Drosophila melanogaster: one gene and its partners. Changing the gene in region 2 together with the main gene of any one other region gives a genetic interaction. Each region holds a gene or a part of one and is shown on either strand. Other genes may lie near its edges. The genes, in order: Atg7, Lrrk, neur and Dp.

What was found.
Region 1: of Lrrk (region 2) and Atg7, changing one enhances a phenotype caused by changing the other (phenotypic enhancement), as found in Drosophila melanogaster (one study listed by BioGRID).
Region 3: of Lrrk (region 2) and neur, changing one suppresses a phenotype caused by changing the other (phenotypic suppression), as found in Drosophila melanogaster (one study listed by BioGRID).
Region 4: of Lrrk (region 2) and Dp, changing one suppresses a phenotype caused by changing the other (phenotypic suppression), as found in Drosophila melanogaster (one study listed by BioGRID).

What each region holds. Positions count from the first base shown.
Region 1 is NT_033778.4:18,619,933-18,626,568, reverse strand, and holds Atg7 (Autophagy-related 7), read left to right. Parts: upstream 1-1,524; 5' UTR 1,525-1,609; coding exon 1,610-1,806; intron 1,807-1,862; coding exon 1,863-2,384; intron 2,385-2,441; coding exon 2,442-2,654; intron 2,655-2,785; coding exon 2,786-2,930; intron 2,931-2,991; coding exon 2,992-3,339; intron 3,340-3,399; coding exon 3,400-3,564; intron 3,565-3,582; exon of another isoform or gene 3,583-3,638; coding exon of another isoform or gene 3,639-3,924; intron 3,925-3,980; coding exon of another isoform or gene 3,981-4,568; intron 4,569-4,685; coding exon of another isoform or gene 4,686-4,777; exon of another isoform or gene 4,778-5,028; intron 5,029-5,236; coding exon 5,237-5,530; intron 5,531-5,613; coding exon 5,614-5,730; intron 5,731-5,794; coding exon 5,795-5,848; 3' UTR 5,849-6,103; downstream 6,104-6,636. Other genes in the region: Sec6 (secretory 6), read right to left, coding at 1-189, 255-1,226; CG5335 (uncharacterized protein), read right to left, coding at 3,639-3,924, 3,981-4,568, 4,686-4,777.
Region 2 is NT_033777.3:20,633,527-20,638,518, forward strand, and holds the start of Lrrk (Leucine-rich repeat kinase), read left to right. Parts: upstream 1-1,953; 5' UTR 1,954-2,111; coding exon 2,112-2,130; intron 2,131-2,289; coding exon 2,290-2,562; intron 2,563-2,572; exon of another isoform or gene 2,573-2,661; coding exon of another isoform or gene 2,662-2,749; intron 2,750-2,814; coding exon 2,815-2,974; intron 2,975-3,036; coding exon 3,037-4,296; intron 4,297-4,352; coding exon 4,353-4,992.
Region 3 is NT_033777.3:9,030,713-9,035,621, forward strand, and holds the start of neur (neuralized), read right to left. Parts: upstream 3,020-4,909; 5' UTR 2,738-3,019; coding exon 2,467-2,737; intron 1-2,466. UniProt on the Drosophila melanogaster protein: Involved in neurogenesis. Interacts with other neurogenic proteins in the specification of the neuroblast versus epidermoblast cell fate.
Region 4 is NT_033778.4:13,220,833-13,228,257, forward strand, and holds Dp (DP transcription factor), read left to right. Parts: upstream 1-1,600; 5' UTR 1,601-2,213; coding exon 2,214-2,280; intron 2,281-2,758; exon of another isoform or gene 2,759-2,828; intron 2,829-3,342; exon of another isoform or gene 3,343-3,630; intron 3,631-4,489; exon of another isoform or gene 4,490-4,579; coding exon of another isoform or gene 4,580-4,634; coding exon 4,635-4,792; intron 4,793-4,858; coding exon 4,859-4,919; intron 4,920-4,976; coding exon 4,977-5,106; intron 5,107-5,169; coding exon 5,170-5,503; intron 5,504-5,571; coding exon 5,572-5,807; intron 5,808-5,867; coding exon 5,868-5,950; intron 5,951-6,013; coding exon 6,014-6,097; intron 6,098-6,153; coding exon 6,154-6,338; 3' UTR 6,339-6,913; downstream 6,914-7,425. Other genes in the region: CG17059 (uncharacterized protein), read left to right, coding at 1-71; Fsn (F-box synaptic protein), read right to left, coding at 450-544, 608-972, 1,030-1,337. UniProt on the Drosophila melanogaster protein: Component of the DREAM complex, a multiprotein complex that can both act as a transcription activator or repressor depending on the context. In follicle cells, the complex plays a central role in the site-specific DNA replication at the chorion loci.

The DNA of each region.
Region 1 (6,636 bases), on a different chromosome or scaffold from region 2:
ATTTTGCAGATATTCATCTTCCAGCGCTTTGAGATGTTCCGGACGCAGCAGAGTACCTATCTGTCGGTGTACATCCACATTAAGATCCGGATGGGACATCAGCTCGACGCCAGGATAGGTGTGTGTAACCCAAGCCATCATTGATACATATTCATTGCCCTCCAAGCCCGAGCGCACAATGTTGTCAAGCTGGAATTAGTAAATATTAGTGGTATAAAAACATTAATCAATTTAAATGATTGACGATTACTCACATAGCTAGAAAGTCCTTCGTGATAGAACTTGACATATTCGCCGAAAATGTCGTAGTGCGGCGGGAAGCAGGGCACACAAAGGGACTTCACAACGCGCAGATCCTCGAGAATGATTTGACGCAATATCTCCAGGTCTCGTACTAACCACATCTTGTTATCGGCCCGCTCCTCTAGCTTGGATCCCTCTATGCGCGTTATCACCGACTGTTGTAGCACGTCCATGATCATGCGGCGCCAAGCCTTTGGTCTTCCAGGCGGCAGGAATCCTGTGACCTTTTGCTGCTGCAACGCGAACTGGTCGTTTTTCTCTTCCCGCTCTATGATGCGTAGGGCGGTAACGATGATGGTGGGCTTCTTGCGCAGAGTGTTCAGCGTGCGGCTAAGAATGAGTCGCAGCTTTTTCTCCAGCTCTTGGGATACCGTGTCAACCTTCTCGAAGTGACGCTTTAGGGTGATCTTGTCGGACGCATGCTGCTTGGGCTGCTTGTGCAGTTCGTAGAGAAGATCATCCCGCGAATTCTCCAGATCCGCCAGGCACTGATGGGCATTAAGCAGCTTATCATCCTCGATCAGCGCCATCGTCTTTTGTACGCTGGCATCTACGTTGAAGATGTGCTTCAGATTCTCCATGGCGGTGGCGTACTGGGAGTGCTTTGTGTTTTCCTCCCGCACAACTTCCAAAGCGTCGTAGACTTCGGGAACGCCCCTCAGCAGGCGCTCCACCTCGTCCATTCGACGCCTTACCTCGCGCACGTCCTGCATGCAGGTCTCCAACTGCTTAAGTCCCACCCTGACCCCGTCCAGCTGTCCTTGCATTCCGGTCTTAAGGAGCGCCTCAACGGATGCCTTCTTCCGGGCGATTCGGTGGCGATATTGTTCCACCTTCTCCAGTTGACCTGGTCGCTGCAACATGTTCTGTATGTCCTTGAGCGCTGCCTGGCGAGCCTGCTCCTCCAGCTGCTGTAAATCCATCTTCAATTTATTTGGATCACTTTCAGTCTCTGTTTTGGTCAATCTTCGTCAGCAGTGGAAGTGCTGGTGTGACCATATAGCAGTGCGGCTGACAATCTCACTTCCAAGAACTACAGTGTAACTTGACAATAAGCTATATTCTACTCTTAAAATTATTATAGTTTTATTGTGTCTTAAAATTTTTATTTTATTCTTCAAGCTTAAAAAATTATGAAGTTAAAGTATATCTTTTAGTTTGCCAAAGCAACAGAGGATTCGACCTAAGTATGGAAAACTGTACTTATCGATAAGTTATCTTCTCATTGGTCTATCGCCATCGAGAGCTTTGTTTGTTTATAATTTGCAGCCAAACGTTTGAACGTAAACAACGCCCTAAGCAAAACATGAGCACGGAAAAAGAGATAATTTTGCAATTTGCTCCGTGGGAATCTTTTGTGTCGCCCACTTTCTGGCACAAGCTAGCGGAGCTTAAGCTCGACCACGATCGCCTGTCCGACTCGAAACGCTCCATTACTGGACACTACACAAATCGTAATGCAAGTGGATGCCTTTTGGAAGTAGACTACACGGCCTACAACAGGTGAGCTTGAAAACTACGAGTTTGATGAAACCAGCGCTTGACCACCCACATTCCAGAATGGCAAAGCCTCCAAAATTCAGCCATTCCGCTATAGGCACCATCTACAATAAGAACACAATCGAAGAGTTCAAGGCCCTGGACAAATTACAACTGCTGGCCGATGAGGGCAAGGAACTGCTGGCTGATATGTGCAGTGGTGGCGCCTTGAGAGATCCCAGTCTATTGACCCGGTTCTTTGTTCTCTCCTTTGCCGATTTAAAGTGTCACAGCTACTACTATTGGTTCGCCTTTCCGTGCCCGCTGACGCCCACCTTAAAGCTTCAGGGAGCCGTCCAAAAACTGCGGGACTTGCCCAATAGTAGTAGCTATATAATGGCTCTAAAGGCCTTACCCACTGAGTCACAGAACTTCTTCATTCTGTATGCTAATGTGGAGAAGAACATTTTCGAAGCCCGTAGTTTAAGTTCCCTTGACGATAAAAATGTTGAGTTCTGTTATTTTGGTTTTGCTGATCCCAGCGAGTATGAGCATCCAGCTTGGATAATGCGAAACTATGCTGCCTTTCTGCTTCAGCAATGGTAGGTAGGAATAGCAATGTTATGATATCAGTTCACACAGTTGTCGGTCTATTACAGTCCCTCTTTTGTTGGAAAACCATTGAAGTTTCTTGGCCTGCGACACAATCAACAAATGAACATCGATGACAGCCTTGTATGGAAGGTGATTCAGACTGAAGCTTGCGATCTTAGCCAAAGCGAAAATATAAAGTTCGTGGGCTGGGAGCTAAATAAAAATGGCAAAATGGGGCCAAGAATGGTGTGCATGAGGGACAGCATGGATCCAGCCAAGTAAGTTAATAGCTATAGACTTAAATGATAAGAACTATCAGTTCATTGAGGTGTGTCCTTAGTGTTAGCTACCACGACAGTTGAAAGTAACTTGTTTATTATTTATAATTTAACAATATTTCTTTCCGTAGACTCGCTGAGAACTCTGTAAACCTGAACCTGAAACTAATGAAGTGGCGCCTTGTTCCCGATCTCAATCTCGAAATCATCTCCCAAACAAAATGCCTGCTCTTTGGAGCTGGTACTTTAGGATGCGCTGTAGCTAGAAATCTGCTGGTGTGCTTTTATACGAAATGATTTAACTGATCTGATAACTAATAGTTTATTTATTTTGTAGTCCTGGGGATTTAAGCACATAACCCTTTTGGACAGCGGCAAGGTTGGGTTCTCTAATCCAGTGCGTCAGAATCTCTACACGCATGCAGATGCTGTGGCAGGCAATCGGATGAAGGCGACTACAGCTGCTCAGAGATTGAAAGAGATCAATCCGTCTGCGGAAACGGCGGGTTATGTGCTGGAGATTCCCATGCCTGGGCATACTATTGGAGAATCGCTTCTAGCCCAGACGAAGGAGCATTTGAAGGTTATCGAAAAGCTTGTGCAGGACCATGATGTCATCTTTCTGCTCACAGATTCGCGCGAAAGCCGCTGGCTGCCCACCCTGCTTGGAGCGGCAAAGGAAAAAGTGGGAACAATCATATACTCACCTTTCAGAAGAGATGTACCTAAAATGTTTCCCTTATAGATTGTCATCAACGCAGCTTTAGGCTTTGACAGTTATCTGGTAATGCGACATGGCACTACGCGTAAGGAAGCAGGCGACGATGGCCAAGAAATCGAAGGACTTAAGTGCATTAATGGCGATCAATTAGGTTGCTACTTTTGTAACGATGTTACGGCCCCTGGAAATGTAAGTCCCATTTGTTGTATAGTTTAAGATAACATTTGTATTTTCAGACTTCATTAGTTGGGTTAACATGGTTACTAAACGCATTCGTAATCATGGCGGGAATATTTTTCGAAGCCAGCGCACGTAGGATCCCCCGTCTGCAGGTGATCCACACCAGTTATCTGCACTACCAGGCCATTTATGCTGGTCACCTTGAAACCCACTAGATTCATCATGGCATTAGGTGTGCGCCAGGTGTAGCTGAAGAAGTTATAACCGTCCACTGCAGTCAAAACCTCGCGTTCCGTAAACGCAAGCGCCAGCTTGAATTGCTGGTTAAAGACGAAGGGGAAACCTCCATGACGCTCCTCGCTTCCGAATCTATAAAAAGAATTAGTTAACGCCCAAAGAGGTACGGCATTATAAAGTTAACTTACTCAAAATTTTTGTTCATGGAATTGCGCACTACTGCCTTCTCATCGAAACGCACACTGAAGTGTAGCTCTTCGCGCTTGGTATCCGAGTCCATGAACTTGATTATGAACTGTCCCTTTTTATTCTCGAAACACCGAGCTGTAAGGACAATCACATGGCCCGGACTAAACAAAATTGGCTGATCGTTACTGAACGCCTTAAAGTAGTCCGAGGCGTGAACGGCTGGCCACGGATTTGGAAACACAGTACGATGATCCACCTGTTTAATGACTTGGATCTGATCACGGATCTCCAGAGCACGAATCGTTCCCAACGGCATGCGGTAGCGGAATCTGCAGAACTCTCGGCTATTTATCGAGATGGCAAAGCTGTCCTCGCAACAAAGAATGTAGACCAAAAAGAACTCGCCACTGACGATGGGATTGGGCAGGGTGTTGGGGTCCATGACATGGGACTCCTCCTCGCCCCAGGCGCCGTTTATCCGGGAATTTCGAACGATCACATCGTTCCGAAAATAGCATGAGAAGCGTAGCCCAATATCTGCGTTCGGATCGACCGTGCTCTTGGCCGTGCAGAGGTTAATGTGGAACCTATCCGAACCAAATGATCACAATCGATTAGTCACGTACTGATAAGAAGCCCAATTTGACAAGTAATTAGTCAGAAAACGGAAAAGCGGTCTTACATTAATGCCGGACAACACTTACCTGGCTGCTCCATCGATGGTCTTGGCCACGACCTCCAGAACATGACCAAACTCCAGCGGATGCGATAGATTGCCAGCGAATTCGGTCAACATGATTCCTTCCTGCAATTACCAATTCAACTAACTATCGCCTTTGTACTGAACAATCAAGCGCAAAATGTGTTTTATAGTTCCGTGGGAGAGTCCGGAGTTCTCCGGCTCTCCCAAATGTTAAAACTTTATCTAATCAGTGATGGGCGGAGCGGCGGGTTGCTCAAGTAACCGATACAAACGCCGAAGTTTTCTATATCTTGTGTTTTTGGTTTTTAAGCGCTGCTATTTGTTTTGTTCTCGCCCGAAGGCGTCATCTTTGTTTGCTCGGAGCATGTGTTTGTGGACACAGAAAAGCTTTCAAAAGCTCTTGATCGTACTACTGCACCGGCGTCGAATGTGCTCCAAATCACACTGAAAAAAACTCTGTATAAAAAAATCTCTTATAGACTCGCTTTATAAAGTTGTACGTACAAATTTGGATACAGATACTCATTGCATTTCGTTCTATTCCATTTTCAGTCGCTCAAAGACCGAACTTTGGATCAACAGTGCACAGTGACACGACCCGGAGTATCCAACATTGCGGCCAGCTATGCGGTGGAATTGTTGGTGGCTTTGCTGCAGCATCCTCGTAAGGAGCTGGCACCCGCCTACTATGCACAGAGTGGGCGTGGCAGGTCGGAGGAGACGGAAGAAAAGGTGCCGGAGGGTCTGCTAGGAATTTTGCCTCACTCCATCCGTGGAATGCTGTGCAACTACGAGAATATTCTGCCCGCCACTCAAAAGTTTGCTCAGTGCATAGCCTGTTCAGCGGTAAGATTTGACAATCTTTTAAAATGGTTTTGATAGCGTTTTCAATATTGTTAAAATTTTTTTTTTAATATATTCGCTTACAGGCCGTCCTAAATGAATATAAAAAAGAGGGTCATGCTTTCCTGTTTAAAACTTTTGAAACAGCCAAGTTTCTGGAGGATTTGACGGGAATCTCCGAATTCAAGCGGTTAAACAGCGAGGTTTGTTTGTTTCCTGTGTTTAATCTAATGGAGATATTTAAAAATTATTCATATTTTTGCACAGATTATCGATTTTGATGATGAAGAATTTGACATGTCCGATAGCGACGAGGATTAGGTTCCACAAAATTGGTCAAGTTTTATCTTCAAAGCAAAATATCTTAAATATGAAATTCAGCTTATTGTGGCTTTAATTTTCTGCAGCATTTATAGTTCAATGTCTATACCAAAAATGTGTGTACTTCAATGCTTTTATTCTATCTAGTCGTTAAGCAAATTGTGAATCATTCAAATGAAATTGATGTGAAAATTAGGCATAAGAAAAATGTGAATTTACTATTGAAAATTGTAATAATAAAAGTGTGAATTTACTATTGAAAATTGTTATAATAAAAGTGCTTAAGTACGGGAACAAATGTATTTCCGCCAATTTACAAGTCGCAGCCTTTAAGCTTTGTTTGTTTGTACGAAACGTGTTTCTGCTGATAAGAGCACTCATTTATAGGCGAAAATATTATTCTGATCTGAGAATTCCCATTTTTGTGGTTGACAAATACCAAAATATTGTTTTCAATTCCCGATCGGTCATTGAATATGTTATTAGCTGCATTATTCAAGGCGAAAACACGCAAACAAAGATGAATGTTCGTATAAAATTGTTTTGGGAATATGCAAATGATTTACATAGTGGGCCAGGTATGCGAAAAGAATAGTTCAAAGTTGAATAAACCTGGTTAGAAAGCCACGAACTAATCGCATATGTAAATTTGCTTATTATGTCTCGGTCAAAGTAGATGACATCCTAGAAATACGCTCACAAATGTTATACTTTAAAGAGATATGTAAAGTTAAAACTATATTTTTAGTCCAGGAATATAAAATGTTTAAATTTTCATTAAATGGTTG
Region 2 (4,992 bases):
ATTTGATCTTCAAGTTCGGATTTTGGATCTGGTGCCTCGGATCTTGAGGATCACCAGCTCCTCCTAATTAGACTTTTCAATGGCCTCTTTCAGGCTACGGAGGCTAGTTGTCCCGCATTTCGCTGGTTACCTTATCAACAGATTGTTGTTTTCAAAGTTTTCCATTTAAATCAGCACGCCAATCTCTCTGCGAATAAATAAGAAGGTGGCGCCGGGTTACTTGAAAGAAAACATATGGCGATATATGTACCGATAATTGTTTTGGTGTCGAATTACGGAAATTACTAAAAATCAACCGCCCACCCGTTGATAAGAAGGCGACCCCTTCCCTTGGCTTTGCCCTCGAGATGATCAGAGATCTGGATAACATCCATTGATGCACTGTAAAACTGAGTTGGTTCTAACCGCCCTTTACCACATGGGATAAAATAGAAAAGCAGCCTCTAAAATCGTCGGTTCTTGTTAATTAAAACAAAAACGCTGACTTTTATTTAGTATGAATCACACAGTCATAAGTTGTTGGCTGGGGGTGGGAGGGGTCAACTTGAAAACAAAAACAAGAATTCAGGGTCAGCCAAGGCGACCTATGAATGCCCTTACGTGTTTTTTTTTGCAATTTTAGGCAGTTGAATGACTGAAGTAAGCAGGATTTATAACGAATTCGATATGGCCGTTGAAAGAAAAGTTTCCATAATGAAAATCTAAGCCATTAAGGCATATTTCAGAGCCAAATGTTCAAATTCCGTGACCGAACGGGTGGAGTTGATACCGCGGAAAGGGTATAAAAAAGTTACGCGGCACCGATGTCTCATCTCTAAGTCGCGATGCCACAAAAATGGAAATTGCAGACAGTCAGAAAAGTCTTGAAAAGCACACGGATTGGCAAGTTTTCATCGAAGTTTCACTTGCATTGTGGCGCAGCTCGTTTGTTTTTGTTTTTTGCTTCCATTTTGGCCAGCCCTCGCCTTTATAGCGATTTTTTTTTGGGTGTGAGCTGCGCAGTTTACGCTGCTCCTTACTTGATTCTCTGCACCGGCACCTTCAGTTGGCCTCTGTCGGCCATTCCGCGGTATTGTTATTTTTCAAACGCACCGTGCAATCGGCTCAAATTTGTGTTCGATTAAGGAATATTAAATTGTTTTTATTTGTATTGTTGAGATCGTGCTGTTAAGCGTCTGTTAACGAACACAGGGTGACTCCTGTTGAACACAGGGCGTTCTAGGCTGGCGCTGGTTAATATCGATAGTGTTTCATTCGATTGTTATATCGATATAGGTTACAGTTGGCATCAGTATTTATAAAATATACACAAATACACGGTGCTAATAAATTCTTGTTCGTAAACAGTCATAACAGGAAATTGCATGTTAAAAAAAAAATAAATAAAAATAATTAACAGTTCCTAAGAATCAAATTCTTTTAGATAAAATCATAGCATACAAAATAAAATTCAACAAAAAGTAACAGTCGATAGTGATTCACTGCTTAACTGATTTAAATAATATCGATATTACTGTTGTTGAGTTGACAAGCAGTGCAAAGTAACAGAAACGATGACCACCTTATCGCGTTTTGGTATTTATATATGTATGCTATCAGAAATGAGATATTTCAGCATCAGTTGGGATTTCAAATATTTCACTTGGGAACAAATTTTTAGATGTGTATGAATAAAAATAATAAATGCGTCTTCCAAATACTTGTTCGGCCTTGTTAAATTAATTTTAATTTATAAATTTAAGCCAATGGACATAAAAATCAATGATTTTGGGTAGATTATGATTTAGTTATTAAGCTGGCTTTAATCTTTGGAGAAAAGTACGAAGCCCCCTGCGTGCGACACTGATTAACAGCATTCACTTGCGATATTTCGGTCACACAGAGCGCTTAACAGCATATCGTGCCAAAATGAGGAGATATATTCTAAAACAGTAAGAGGTTACACTGTTTGTTGACAAAAAGGTAAACAAAGTGAAAATTTCGCAAAATGTGCAAAATAATTAAGTAAGGGTCAGTAAAAGGTGCTACTGGTTAATCGGACCATAACAACTACCCATTTAACACATACCATGCATGACTTGGATATCTCGTGAAGTACACAAACCAAAACAATGAGCGACTCCGACGAAGGTGAGATAACACAACTTTTAGTGAAATTATGCACAATATGCTAGTTTTGCGCAAATTTAGTCAGAGTGCAAATGAGCATTATACGCTTGACTATGCAAATTACCTAAGTGGTGCAATTAAAACTTCAACCAGTTGTTATTGGTTTTTCAACAACACCAGCAAGGGCACAGGGTGACATTGGTGCAATGGAAGTGGGCGCGCAAAAACTTTTTTCAAACAGCCACCCCCCACAGAAGCAACTGGTGCAACCACTGGACCATCCGACACCCACGAAGAGACAAATCAAAACAAATGCCACGCACTCACCCAATGCCACATTCTTGAACAAGTGCAACAGTTGCCGCGCTTCTTGGGCTCCGACTTGCGCAGTGCGACATAAAACGGCCTGGATCAATGACCACAAAAACGTGGCCATCGATTTTCCGCAGTTCAGTTTTTGCTAGCGGCGCGTTCGGTCATCATACCGATGCCAATTAATTTTTGGGGCTTATTCGCACCGATTTGGGTTACATAATGTCATGGAAATTCAGCATGGAACATCCCAAAACTGGAACTGAAACAGCTCTGGAAGCCTGTGACTACTTCGTGGATGAGGTCATTGAGGCATCCTCAATACGGGGTGGGAATTGGTTTATTCCAAAGGTGCTGTGTATTAGTTAACCAAGCAAAACTTATCTTTCACAGATGCCCGCGAGGAAGTGCGTCAGATCAAGCACGGGGAGCTGCGAACGGCAGTGATCTCTGGCGATGAGCGGACTGTGCGGGTGCTGCTGGCAGCTCTTGGAACTGAGCGTCAGATTATAGTCAATATGGCTCCTTCAGGAGCAAACACCCTTCTATTCCTGTGAGAAAAAGTCTTTTAGAATTAGTCCATTTTGAGCCAAACTAATATCGGTCTCGTTTTAGAGCCTGCCAGTCTGGTTACGAGAGCATTACACAGCGATTGCTGGATGCTGGAGCGGATGGTCGCTCCCATGCCGTGACCAAGTACTCACCCTTGTACGCCGCCGTCCATAGCGGTCACTTGGGCATTGCCCGACTGATGCTAGACCATTTTCCAGAACTGATCCAGCAGCCGACTGTAGAGCGCTGGCTGCCGCTGCACGCCGCCTGCATCAATGGACACATCAAGCTGCTGGAACTCCTTATCAGCTACAGTTATCCCGACTACCTCTACCAGACATATCGCGACGAGGAGGGCCAGTGGGAATGGCGGCTCCCCTTCGACGCTAACGCTCATGATGTGACGGGTCAGACGAGTCTGTATATTGCCAGCATCCTAGGAAACAAGCAGCTGGTTGGTGTGCTTCTAAAGTGGCAGCTCCATTGCCGGCGTACGTTGGGCGATTCCGCCAGCTCGGTGAGCACTCCTATTACGCCCACCAGGAAACGTATTTCATTTGGCATTCAGGCTATCATGTCCAAACTGCACATATCTGGAGAGTCAGAAGGACCCGACGACCTAGCTTCACAAGAGTCAACCGAGTGCCAACGGTGTCCCATTAACGTGAATCTGCTATGTGGAGCGGCGAGAGAAACAGCTCTGCTTGCGGCCGTTCGAGGCGGCCACCTAGACGTGGTGCAGTCTCTGCTACAGCACGGCGCAAATCCGAATATTGTAGCCAAGCCAGTTGAGGATCACAACGACCCGAAATGTTGCGAGGAAATATATGGGCTCAGTAATGTCCCCATTGCAGAGGCCTGCAAGCAAAGGTCGCTGGCTATGTTGGATCTCTTGCTTAAGCATGGAGCCCGCGACGATAATGGCACGGCCATTGGAATGGCTATTACATGCGGCGACGAGGCCATCCTGAGTCGTCTTTTGGCCCGACGAGTCCATCCGGACTCAGACTACAAGATCAACAAGAAGGGTCTTCCCACACCAGTGGAGGTGAACGTGTTTTTGCCGTCCACCAGCAACATATCTTACAGTGCTATGTTCCCCAACAATCCAACCATTATTGACTGGCACAGCATGGGCTCCAGTGTCCAGTTGTCTGTTGTAAGGGTTCCCTGGATGGTCAGCGGTGTGTTGCTGCTGAATCCTAAGCTACAGTCGCATCCGCGACTTAATGAGGTTGCTCTGACAGCTATCACGCGAATAGATTTCTCGCACAACGTTCTCACGTCAATTCCACAGGAGCTTTTCCATTTGGTTAGCCTAAGGTTAGTAAAGACAAAGTAATAAGTTTTTCAAGAATTATATTAGTCCTTCATTTAAGGTATTTAAATGTGGCGCAAAACAAGATAACCGATCTACCTGCACCAATAGGCCAGACATATGGGTGTCCGGTACTGGATGAACTCTTTCTACAAGACAACCAGTTAACTACGCTGCCAGCCGCCATCTTTCACCTGCCCGCCCTATCTATATTGGATGTTTCAAATAACAAACTGCAACAGCTTCCCTTCGACCTGTGGCGTGCACCCAAGTTGCGCGAACTTAATGTGGCCTTCAACCTATTGCGGGATCTTCCTGTGCCGCCAATGCAAACTAGCAGTTCGCTGCTGAGCCTAGACAAATTGAATCTGCAATCTTTTGAGGAGCCGCCATCAAACAAACCGCGAAATGTGACTCAGCAACGTCTCACCCATCGCAATCTATGGTCGGCTACTTTGGACATAACCGATAATGACATGAAGTGGCAGCATGAACAAGATTTAGGCGATGGAAAGACAGCTGGTGTGGGCTCCTCCCAGCTAAGTAGCTTAAATATAGCAAATAACCTCTTCACCAGTATCCCCGCTGCTTTGCCCTGTCTGGCTGTAAACCTAACACGGCTGAATATGTCATACAACAGTCTGCGTTCTATGGGACATGTAACCAGTTACCCGGCAACACTTAAGCAGTTGGATCTAAGT
Region 3 (4,909 bases), about 12 Mb from region 2:
AGAAAAAAGCTAGCAAAGTTAGCACAAGCATCTTTGTGTATATCCCCAATAGTTAACAACTGGTATTTATAGTTAATCAGTTGCAAAACGTTTACACTTGTAGAGATAACATTTCGCAGTGTCCGTTATCAAAGCGCGAAATTAAGCAGTGCTTCATATCAGCTATATGAACTATACTATACTACAATAACTATACGCAAACTTCAGAATGACACATCGAGATGATGACCTCATGAGGGGGAGAAAAATAAGTGAAAAAATAACGAAGGGGATGCATGAAAGTGGAAAAATATAGCAACAGATGTATGTAGCGAAAATGCTCAGCATACAACTGTGCTCAACAGAAAATGGCTTACTGGGAAATCAACAATAATATGTTAATATTGAAGCAATATTAGCAAAATGTCTCTTAAACATTATGTTTACAGAAATTTGTTTTTAAGCGGCGACTTACATATTTTGAACTTAATAGAATAACATTTTAGGTCTCAGAAGTTAATGTATGTATATTTATGGTGACCAACATTGTACTTAGATATGTACTTATATGTACAAACTTCCTTGGGGGGTGCGTACCGTCATTAACAATTGACTATTTACTTTTGGCCAACAATCGAAGGTCGGGCGACAATTTGTATTTGTGTGTCCCATAATCGGGGTCTCAAAGACGAGTTGGCAGTGCTCAGTTGCAAGCACACGCACGGCCAAGCAAACCATTTCGAAAAGTAAACCGTGAGAAGCTAAGTAAAAGCCAAGAGCAGATAAACTTTTTAGCCAAAGCAAACGTGGCATGCCAACACACAATAATAATAACAACAACAAACAAGGTACGAAATGTAATAGAAAATGCAGGTACAAAAAAGCAAAAGCAGCTGACGCCGAGCAAAACAACAACAAAGCAATTTCATTGATTACCGATAGGCAACGCACGTTCAAAACAAACGGACTGGAGCCGCCGCATAAAACATAAACCATTGCGGGCTTAAGCGCTCAGCAGAAAAATAAAAACTCCAAACACACTCAAGCTTCAAAGCCACGCCTCTTCCTCTTCTCATCCCGCTAGTCCATGGCTCTTCTCTTCTTCTCCTGCCGTGGATCGTTTGCTTTTCTGTTGTTGCTACCTTTGTTTTTGCTTTTGCCGATGGCGGCAACGGCGCTTCGCGTACAATTCCCCGAAAGGCAACAGCAACAACAACAAGCAATACTGAATGAGGCAGATGCAAAAACAGTGGTGGCGGGAAAAATGGAATCTCTTAAATACAGTACAATATTTTGCATAGCCACTTTTGACAAATAAAACTATTCCAGTGCTGAAGGACTAAATTAATAACTTTTTTTTATTATTCATATTGCGTCGTTCGTTGATATTCGACTGCTAGTTGTGCGACCACAATTGTTCGTAGGAGGCCAGTAAAAATAAAAAAAAAAGGGGTAGAAGCTTAGCCTATGCGTCACTGGCTTTGCTTTGCTTTTGCTTCGCCTGCTTTGGCCAAAAAAGAGAGCATTGAAGCCGAGAATGCAATTGAGCCAAAGTCAAAAAAAAAAGGTGATTTGTTGTTTTTACTTCTTTTTTTTTGTCTTTCCTTAGCTCAGCTGCTTGCAACCAAAACAAAAACAGCGCAACAAATTCCCCAGCCCAGATAATCGTTATGATAAACATAATCGCTCCTTGGGAAAATTGCTTTTGGTGGTATTTTCTTCAACTCAAGATCCCTCCGATCTGGTCTTCTCGATCAATTTGCGGTTACTTGGGTGCGATTGAAAAATTCAGTTTTCGAGAACTGACATTTCCGGCGAAAAAGTCGGAGTGTCGATGTTAAATTCTGCCGAAAAAGCCTTGAGAGAATTTCACATTTAAGATTTTTTCGCGCTTCTTTTGTGTCTATCTAGTCGGAAAAAAACAATTACTATTATAATCGCAAACTGGGCGTGTTCTGGGTGAGCATTTATTCATTAGCTTTTTGTTTTAAACTAACTCAAACTTTTTCGGTTTTTGCTCTTATCTTTCGTTATTTGTTATTGTTCTTGAGACGTAAAATGCTAATGTATGCATAAATGATTGCGGCTGGCTGTGTTTCTCGCTTATTTATCTTGCCGCTTTAATTAACCGAATGAATGAAAGAGCGATAGGTCAGACCACATGCTAATATTATGTGGGAATATCGCTGGAGATAAAAATACGATTCCCAGATCGATGAATAATGTATTTAAGGCATTTTCGCACGCGGTAATTACATTTGCTTCAAGACTTTAATGGTCAGATATCACGAAGGAAGTTTTATATTGTTAAAATGTACTACATCTACTTTAGAACCCAATCACACTGATTTTAAAAATTATTCCTGGATATTCCGAGAATTGTACGTCCTTTGAAAAACGACTTGGAAATTAACTGAATATTCTTGTTAATATATCCATCGATATCCTTAGCCCGATTCTTAGCCTGGTACTAATGCGACTACTAACCCAATCCAAAGCGCTTCTTGATCTTCTTGAGCAAGTGCATTTTCTTCTTGCTAGAGAGCTTGTCCTTGGTGCTCATGAGCAGCTCGTTGGACTCCATGGCCAGGACCTGGGCGGCCTGCTGGGCGGGAGTGGGCATGGCGTTGTGCAGCTGCTGCATCTGTTGCAGATGCTGCAAGTGCTGCTGATTCTGGTGGTGCTGCTGCTGCGGATGGAGAGTTAGGTGCGGATGGCTGCCCTGCATATAGTTGGCTGGTATATCCGATAGACCCATGGTAGTGGATTATTTCTTATTTCGTTATTTAAATTAAAACAGACGAACTAAACGAACACGCGTAATGCTAATGAAAATGCACAAGCTGCTTGCGTATTTTATTTGGCATTAAATTAAGCGATAGAGTTCTTCTTCGAATTTGAATGTTTTCCGTTAAAACATTTTGAATTTGGTTGGTTGTTTGTCTGCGCGCAACGGGAACAAACGAAACGAAACGATACGAAACACAAAGACCGACGACGACAACTTCGAGACAACCTTTCGCTGAGTTTTTTTTCAACAAATAAACGGTGGTGCAGCCTTTTATAGCTTCGCACCAGCGCGACGTCGCTGACGCAGCTCAGCTGGAGAGTAACGGATAGTACTGGCGCGCAGAAATTCTCCCGTCAGATTTGGCTTTTTTTAGTATATGTTTTCAAGATATTTAGAAGTTTAGGTATGCCAGTAAGACATATTTGGAAATTTAAGTTTTTTATAATTACTATTAACGTTTAGTGACAATTTGGGCTGTAGATTTGAATAACATTTCCTGTTTTACAATTTAATTAAAATCAAGAAACGGTAACTAAATTACATTAAAAATGCTTCAATTTATTTAAACTTATAATTTGTAAGCAATCTATTCAAATAATTTAAAATTTATCCATTTTCTGGCTAAGGGCTGTCAGCCCTGAGCGTGGATGGAGCGAAAAAGAGAGCTCAAGAGAGAAAATTATGAGACGCCATCGCTCTCTTTCTCTCTCTGGCAGCTGTTTCTTATTTACTATGGTTTCGCTTTGTGCCTGCTATTCGCGTGTATAGAGCCTCCCTTATAATTTACCTTTATGCCTCTAACTCTGCACCTTGATCAGGGATTCCTCCACATCTTCTCCTGCTGTTGCTCTTCCTGCTTCTTGTTGTTGTTGCTCTAGGCCTGCATTTGGGATTTTGGCCATAGTGCTCTGATCTTCACTAACAGTTATTCTCCTCACCTTAGTGTGTGTGTAGTTCAGCCAGGTTCAAAGCAATTCTTTTTCTTTTTCGCAGGGTTTACAAGGTCTGGCTCATATAACTAGAAAACTATTTCAATTGCCCTAATGCTTTTGATCGTGAACTTTGTGGGCCAAATATCACACGTACATACATATGTGTGTATGTATGTACTCAGTTGGAGTATGTATGGAGTAATTCCATGGGAATTAAAAAAAATTCCCAAACGTTTCTTGATAATAATAATAAATTTCTTCTTTTCCCAATTGTTTTCGGCACATTTAATTGTCCATTTTGTATGTGCAATTTATTTTAATAGAGAATATGAAACGAGATTTGTTTTTGTTTTGATTTTTTAAGTTTGCACTATAAAGATTATAAAATGAAATGGAAAGTTTGTAACTCAATTCCCAGTTTTGAAACCATTAGCTTACACAGAATTTAAAAAAATGTACCTATGATCTGGGACACATGCTATTGTGGTCTCATTTGCTAAGCTTTAGCATTGTGGTCAGCAGGATAACTGCCGTCTGGCGTCTGATCATCCTTTATCCTTTATGGATGCCACGCTGCCATTGATGGAGGATGATAATTGCGCCGAGCGCTCCTTATCCTCATCCTCGTCCTTTTTGTCCTGCATCGACAGACGGAACCGGGCAGACCTCACAGCAGATGCAATTTTCAAGATCGGAAGGGATCAAGACGGGGCAGAAAGCATTTAAATTTTGATATTAAAGTGGAAATGCATATTCAGCATCCTGGCAGCAGGCGTGCGTCCTGGAAATACATCTGCTGCTGCTTACCCGATTTCCCCCTCCTGTTCGCTCAGTTTGCAAAAATGCAAAAAAGGTCGGAGAAGGTGATGTTGGCGAAACAGGAACCGGCAGACATCGAGACCAACGAACAACCCCAAAAATTGTCAAAGAATACAGTGATCATTGGATAGAAATATTTTTTATCGACTTTAGGTTAAGTAGAAATATTAAAAATGCAGAGTAAATATCCTTGCAATATTATTTCAAGCCCTAAACCAACCTTATTTTTAGGATACCATTTCTTTTTTTTCTTTTAAATGTATGAATACTTATGTATTATAATTGCGTATCATAGTTTTTCGCTTATCGATATCCACTGTACCCATCATGATCACCAACGAAAGGTGTCCATCTGCGGTTGCAGTTGGAAAAAGGATCCGAAAAGGGT
Region 4 (7,425 bases), on a different chromosome or scaffold from region 2:
TCTACAATGATTTTGATGATCTGTTCGATGAAGACAACTGGGCCAAGATGAAAACCGATGGGAAACAGTAGAGGCCACCACGCAATAAATGGATTGAAAGATTTGTATTCGCGACTCGTTCTTCTGTCTGTAATTTTACTTGCACAATCAGCGATCATTGGTGTATAAAAAATTGCTTCAACTATTGTTTAATCGCTTATTATATTCATTTGGTTCGTATAACTAAGGTAAATTGCCATGTGAGATAGTGCCGAGGTGGATATGAACTTTGGCTTAGCGTAAATCAACAAAATGCATAATTTTGTACAAAAAAACGAAACTATTAACTAAATTTATCGAACTGAGTTTCAGGTGGAATGAAGCAATCATAATTGAGATAAATACAAATGTACACAATAACCTAATGGATCCGTGGAAGTTGTTAACCAAGTTGTAGGCCCTCTGCAAAGCTATCCGTCCAACGGCGTGCCCAGATAGACCATCGAGACCTCGGTATTGCCGTAGACAGCGGATACTGTGGGATAGAGCTTTTTGTCCGGCAGGCCTGCAAGGTGAAAGTGCATAGAATCGTTCGTATCGCTGGTATCACCAAACTATTTCCCCTTACCCCGGAAGGCCACACCGAGGAACTCGTAGTTCTTCTCGAACGACAAGGTGTTGTCCTCGCAGTCGAGAATGACGCGTATCCGCTCGCCCACTTGGTACTTGGGAGCATTGTTCAGCAGCGGGTAACTGCCCTGCATGTCGCCGTTGTGCAGCAGGTGGTTCTCGACCAGATTCCAGCCCCAGCTCTGGTCGTCGGAGCCGAGCAGAGCCACATAGCCGTGACACTGTAGAGCCGCCTCCTTGGTAGATATGCCGATGACGGCCACAGTGCCCAGCGGTCCCTCCCATATCACCTCCCAGGTGTGACGACCGTGGCGGAATCCTATCTTGCCCCGGGCCGCGTCTGTGCTCTGCGCCACGGGATTGCTGCGGGAATGGAGGGACATACATATAACGCCGACTCAAGCAAACCGAATACCTTACCGATGCAGGGTGAATCCGTTCGGCTTAATGTACACATTCCTCGAACAGTCGTTGGGGCTCCAGGCGTGAAAATAGGCCCGCAGCTTCGTCTTGTACGTGGAGACGGAGGCCAGCAGGTCCGATTTGAGGGACTCCTTGGGCAGCTTGTTCAGGCAGTGCCAGCGCCAGACGTCGCTGTTCTCGTCGTTGAGGAAGTGGTACCAACTTTTGCACACCTGCGAGCAATGACTGAGGTCGTCCAGCTCCAGGTAGGAGAAGATTACCTCCAGCACATTGTAATTGCACAGCGCCGCCACCGGATCGACCATTGTGTGCGTGTGCGCTCCGCTGCTGGGCTCGTGTAGATAGCTGCTTGGATTTACCCGTTCCTGTTGATTGTCATTTTCCCACACCAACCAAATGGGTAAAAATAAAACTCGAAAACTTTAATATTCTGCGATTCAGGGTGACCGTTGGCGGGCTGCCAGCGAAATACCGCTCACCTGGACAAAGTGGCAACTTTGTTTACATCCGCGACCAGTGTGCGATAGCGACTGTCGCACACAGCTGCTTACAACACTGCGTAAATTGATGCGTAAATTGGCGCGCACTGTCTGCCATTTCATTCGCACCCGCACACAGCCTGCTTTGCCTTTCCCACATGAAAACGAAAAGCAGCCACTTGGTGGAAATTTTGTGACCATTTTGTTGCGCTTAGAAATTGCGGAAATTCGCGCTGCTGCCAGCCGTTCGATAGCTAAAAGTTCGCCGTATCTTTTGCCACTAATCTCGTGAAAATCCGTGCGCCGAAACACCGCGAAAAAGGCCACCGAAAAAGGGCCGCCGCTGTGAGTGTGTGTGAGCAGCAGAAAAGAAAAAAAAAATGCCCTGCCGCTGGAAGTGAAAAATGCGCTCGCCATTTTGACTTGGGCGACACTTATTTTTTGTACAAGTGCGCTCCCCATTGCAGTCGTCGTCGTCGTGGTCGTGGTCCGCATCCGGATTTGCACACGTGCCCCAGTCCGTGGGTGCAGTACGTCCGCCTATCCACCGCCGTCGCCCATTCCAGCTCCATTTGCCCCCCCCTAGCACACACGTTGCGGCGAAACGGCACGTAGCACTGCTCTTTCCTTTTGTTTTTGGCGGTCCACCTGGTGAGCGGTAAGCGACAACAACAAGATCACTTGATCTCCGGCGGCCGAAAAATGGCGCATTCGACGGGCGGTACGGTGAAGACCGATGAGGTGAACTTCTTCTTCCGGAACGAGCACGGTAAGTGGGCGGAAGCGGTGTCCTGTAATAGGAGTTTTGCTCACGATGGAGTGAGTGCACTCCCTCCCTCCGCTATAGTCCATCATACACACACACCCCCTCATACACAAGGCGACCCACACAGATACGCTACAAAGTTGCATGGGCAGCGTAAAACGCCATCTTTGCTTTTTCGGGTTTCTTTTGCCTACCGTATTCATCGTTTGATACGCTTTGCGGGGGGAGGCCAGCGAGACGAACCGAAAAGAGTGCTAGAAATTGGCAAAAAGTAATAATAAAAGACAGAGACCCCCGCGAAATAACAACTTATATCAGTAAGCCACCCAGACCCGCCCCCTTCTGCCATCTACGCCCATCGCCCAGTTGGCGCGCTTGCTCACACACACACATGCACGCACACTAGCACGCGCGCGTTTTCTCCTACTTATTTTTTTGTTTTTTCATTGGGCGGCGAACAGCTGATTACTTCGCCGCCACTGCGAATTCGCTTTGAGGATTTAGCATGAAGTGAAGTAGTGATAAATCGTTGATTTCAGCTACGTACAAAGGTATTATTGTGAGGGACATTGTAAATTCAACTTGAAACAAATGTATCTGAACAGCGTGACATTCTGCCATATCTTAGCGAGTGGGAGAGAGACGGGGCGCACCGCCAAGAGAGATCGGGGTGAGAGAAAAAAGGCCACAGCAAGAACAACACTGCCACACACACACACACGTAGTCAGCCACGAAGCTGAAGCCCAAAACAGGCGAGAGCAAATAGGTGTAAGCGCTGTACACGTGTGTAGTTGTCCGTCGCCGCGTTTATGCGGTATTTACCGTACCCCGCAGTACTGAACTGATTAACTTCATGAGTTTCATTCAGTCATGATAGCAAAGAAGAAGATATGGATAGCTTTATGACGTGCTTTTATTTGTATAAAATGTCTCTTTAATCCCCAATATGTAAAGAAATAGTAATTTTTAATCAGTGATATTGCTCTTTGTTGAATATGAAGCGCGCATAAACGCTTTATATAGACCAGTATATCAGCCTGTTCGTACCAGCGAGTTACCTGGTTTGTAGTTATCTGCTGGTTGACTGGTGCAGACGAACTATGGAACTGCTTCTCCAATTGTAGGGATTATGGTTTCACCTGCATTTTGGGACTCTGCCTAGGCATTGTAGGATAACTCCCGCCGAGTTTAAGACTCCCATCGTTACCATCTGGTGGGACAGTCCGGCATTTTCTCGCATGTGTCCGCTGCTCAAGCCCCCGTGAGTCTGACTCACTTGCAGGTGTGTGTGCGTGTGATGTGCCCGTGGGTGCGGGAGAGTTGGCAGGTATTTTTAGCGCTCGACCCTTTGCGGTTTTTGTTTTGGGCATCTTCATCTCCATTATGCGTTGTCCACCTGCTTTGTTGTTATGATTATGCAAATATTGGGCTGGCGACAGGTGAACAATTATTACATCGAATGAATACCATCTAAAACTGGAAATGTTTAGAAAAGCCGGTTGGATACGAAACCCAGGGGTGCCAACCGAGTAGTCTTAATGGGTTTCCGGTTAATTCTGCCTTGATATTATAGTTGCTTTGGAATGGAAGTGCTCATAGTGTTGGATATACCAAATTAGCAGTAAATAAAATTTACTAAAGAACGCAACTAAGAACAGTGATTTGAAATGTCACGCTTTTAAAAATACTAACCGGTATCATATTTGCTCTTACTTTTTCTTCTGCTTAGGCTTCTGCTTGATTTATTGTCTTTCCAGTTAAAAGTCGAATTGTGAGTTTTAATGGGAAACCTATAATCGCACTATATTTAATTCAAATTATATTCGAACTTGGATTAATCCGACTAATGACTGATCAACAATCTTGTCGAGTCACGAACTTTAGTATCGAACCATCTCTAATTGGTTAAGGGTCACGTGGTTGCCATCACTAATGTCCAGGCGATCTGGTTTCGGGTTGTTTATGCTTCTGCATTTGTATCCTTGTCACACCGATTGAAACACACGCACACTCACCACCAGCACGTGAGTGTGGGTATACCTTGTGTGTATGTGTGTATGCACCCCAATCTTAATGTGCCGCTCGCCTTTCGTTGTTGTATTCCGACTCCAGTGCGCTTAACTCGCTCCATTCCATTCTCTTCACTTCGCTGCGATGAATTCACCGTATATACGGCGAAAAAACGCATCGTTGATAGTACCACACATACATTCAGTTACTCGCTAACACTCTGACACCCATGTGTGTGTCTGTGGAGTACATGCAGTTTTGTTATCAACGACGGCATTTCAGTCGCGTGTTATGTGTATATCGGAAACTAAGGAACCTCCGCATCTTCCAATTTCCAATTCTGCAGGACAAATATCCAAAATGCTGAAGCCGGCCCAGAACAAGTCCGAAATGGAGGGAGGTAAGCCCGTGGCGGTGGTCTACGCCACCGGCTCATCCGCGCGCAACAGCGGAAGTGCTAGCGGCATCGGCAACGTGGGACGCATGGGCGCCTTTAGTCAGATGGTAAGTGTAGAACGCGGTTGCTCACGTTGCTTACACTTAGTACCTAACGATCCGATTTAAACGCAGGGCAGTCAAGGGCAGTTTATACGACTGCAGGACAACGGACTGTCCATTCCAAAAACAGAAGGTAAGCGTGTGATCCTCCTCTTACCACTTCAATTAATCATTGTATCCCTTATTGTAGCAGGTACCACCTACACCACCGTTTCGGCGCAAAAGACTTCGGGTGCTGGCAGTGGTCATTACGACTTGCCCTTGAAGGGAGATCGCTATGTGAAGTTTACACCAAATCCCATAAAAATGAAATCAAAACTGTAAGTAGTAACCAACCGAGCAGGATCGAGGAGGATACTATAGCTTTGTTCCTTCCCAAACAGCCATGCCATTCAGAGCAACTCGTTGCACTCCATGTCGGCCTCCTCATCGTCCGTTCAAAGGAAACGCAAGCCGGACAAGGCAGGCAAAGGTTTGCGCCATTTCTCGATGAAGGTATGCGAAAAGGTGGAGGAGAAGGGCAAGACCACCTACAATGAGGTGGCCGACGACCTGGTCAGCGAGGAGATGAAGAACAATGCGTACGACAACAACTGTGATCAAAAGAATATCCGACGTCGTGTCTACGATGCGCTCAACGTACTGATGGCAATCAATGTTATTTCCAAGGACAAGAAGGAGATTCGCTGGATAGGACTGCCCGCAAATTCGACAGAGGTGGGACTTGTGTTCACCAAAGGCACCAAACTCCATGCTAATGTGATTATTTTGTCCCCTTTTCATAGACATTTCTGGCCCTGGAAGAGGAAAACTGTCAGCGCCGCGAGCGAATAAAACAGAAAAACGAAATGTTGCGCGAAATGATCATGCAGCATGTGGCGTTCAAGGGATTGGTCGAGCGGAACAAGCGAAACGAGAGCCAAGGCGTGGTGCCTTCCCCGAATGCCTCGATCCAGCTACCGTTCATCATCGTGAACACGCACAAGTCCACGAAAATCAACTGCAGTGTGACCAACGACAAGTGAGCGCTCACACTCAGTCGGAGTATGGCTTGTATTCTATTTCCCATATATCGTTTCAGGTCCGAATACATATTCAAGTTCGACAAAACCTTCGAAATGCACGATGACATTGAGGTGCTCAAGCGTATGGGATTCCTATTGGGTGAGTGTGTTTAATATTGGGCATTCGGGATAAGAAATTCATTGCATATGCTATTACCTGCAGGACTGGATAAGGGCGAATGCACGCCGGAGAACATTGAACGAGTCAAGTCGTGGGTGCCTCCAAACCTTGCCAAATACGTAGAAGGTATGACCATATATTGTCTTCCAATTCACTGTTATTAAACTTTATATTTGGCCCAGCCTACGGCACCGGCAAGACTGGCGAAAATATGTACGAATCGGATGACGAGGACAATGAGTTCAACGGGTACCTGGAGTCGGCCAATGAGTCCCAGGGCTTTGCACAACACTCGGCACAACACACCACCGATGGCGAGTTCAAGCTGGAGATGGATGATGACGAGCTGGACGACGACATTGATTGAGCTGATGGTGCCGCCGTCATTGTGCCAGCCATGGCCGATGCGGACACGGATGCGGATGGAGGAGCAGATGCTGATGCGGAGGACACGTTTAGTTTTACGTTTATCAACGCTTTGTTAGGTTTGCCACGGCCCCCTGGTTAGTCAGGAGCCGCACTCCACTCCAATCCACTCCACACCCAATCCGACCCACCCACACAATTGGTTTTGTTTACTTCTCAATGAGACTCTTAAATTATATATATACAATCTCGCAGCGACGAGAAAGATTCGGTAGTTCATGTATGTAAGTGTAGTTTGCATACACAGTTTGTAATTGTATCATTGAAGATTTATGTTTAAGCTGAAACGTTTTTAAAATAATTTGTCTAGTTAAGGAGAACGCGTTTTTAGTTCAAACCACAATTCACATAAGGCAATACCGCGAAACCACATGCCCAGACTAATGTTCACTCTCTAATTAGTTGTTATCAGTCTCCCTTTTCCCCCCAATGGCCTTTTCATGTTTGGGTAGGCTTAAGCAAAAGCGATAATGTTATGGGTAATTGTCTCTTAATAATATAATATACCAAAACTGTACACAACCGCAGTGAAATGCAATTATTTTTAGAATGCCACGAGCAGTTTGAACTGCAGACAAGAGCGAACATATGAAATATGTTTAATTTGCTAACACCCTTTGACAAAGCGATTCTTTTAGATTCTCAAAACCCAAATTTTAAGTTGACAAGGGAGTGCAGATAGTTGCGAAATAATCAACCTACCTAATTAGTAATAACAATTAAAACACGATATACATTTTCAGAATTTGTATTTATATTATTGAACCCTCTTCAAGTGAATACAACAGCATGCAAATACAAATTAGTAGTCAAGTATAAGGCGTTAACAATTAAGTGTCGAGCATGTAGTTGTGTAATGAAACGAAATAATTGCATGGATGGAAAGGAAATTGCAAACAAGTGAGACGAAATCGAACCGAGTGACAAGTTAATAAAGAAGTAATTTGCATATTGTAAAATATGATAAACAGAGAATTTAATCTTTTCCTCCCTTCTGCTTGCACCCAACCCAAGCAATAAGTCCAATA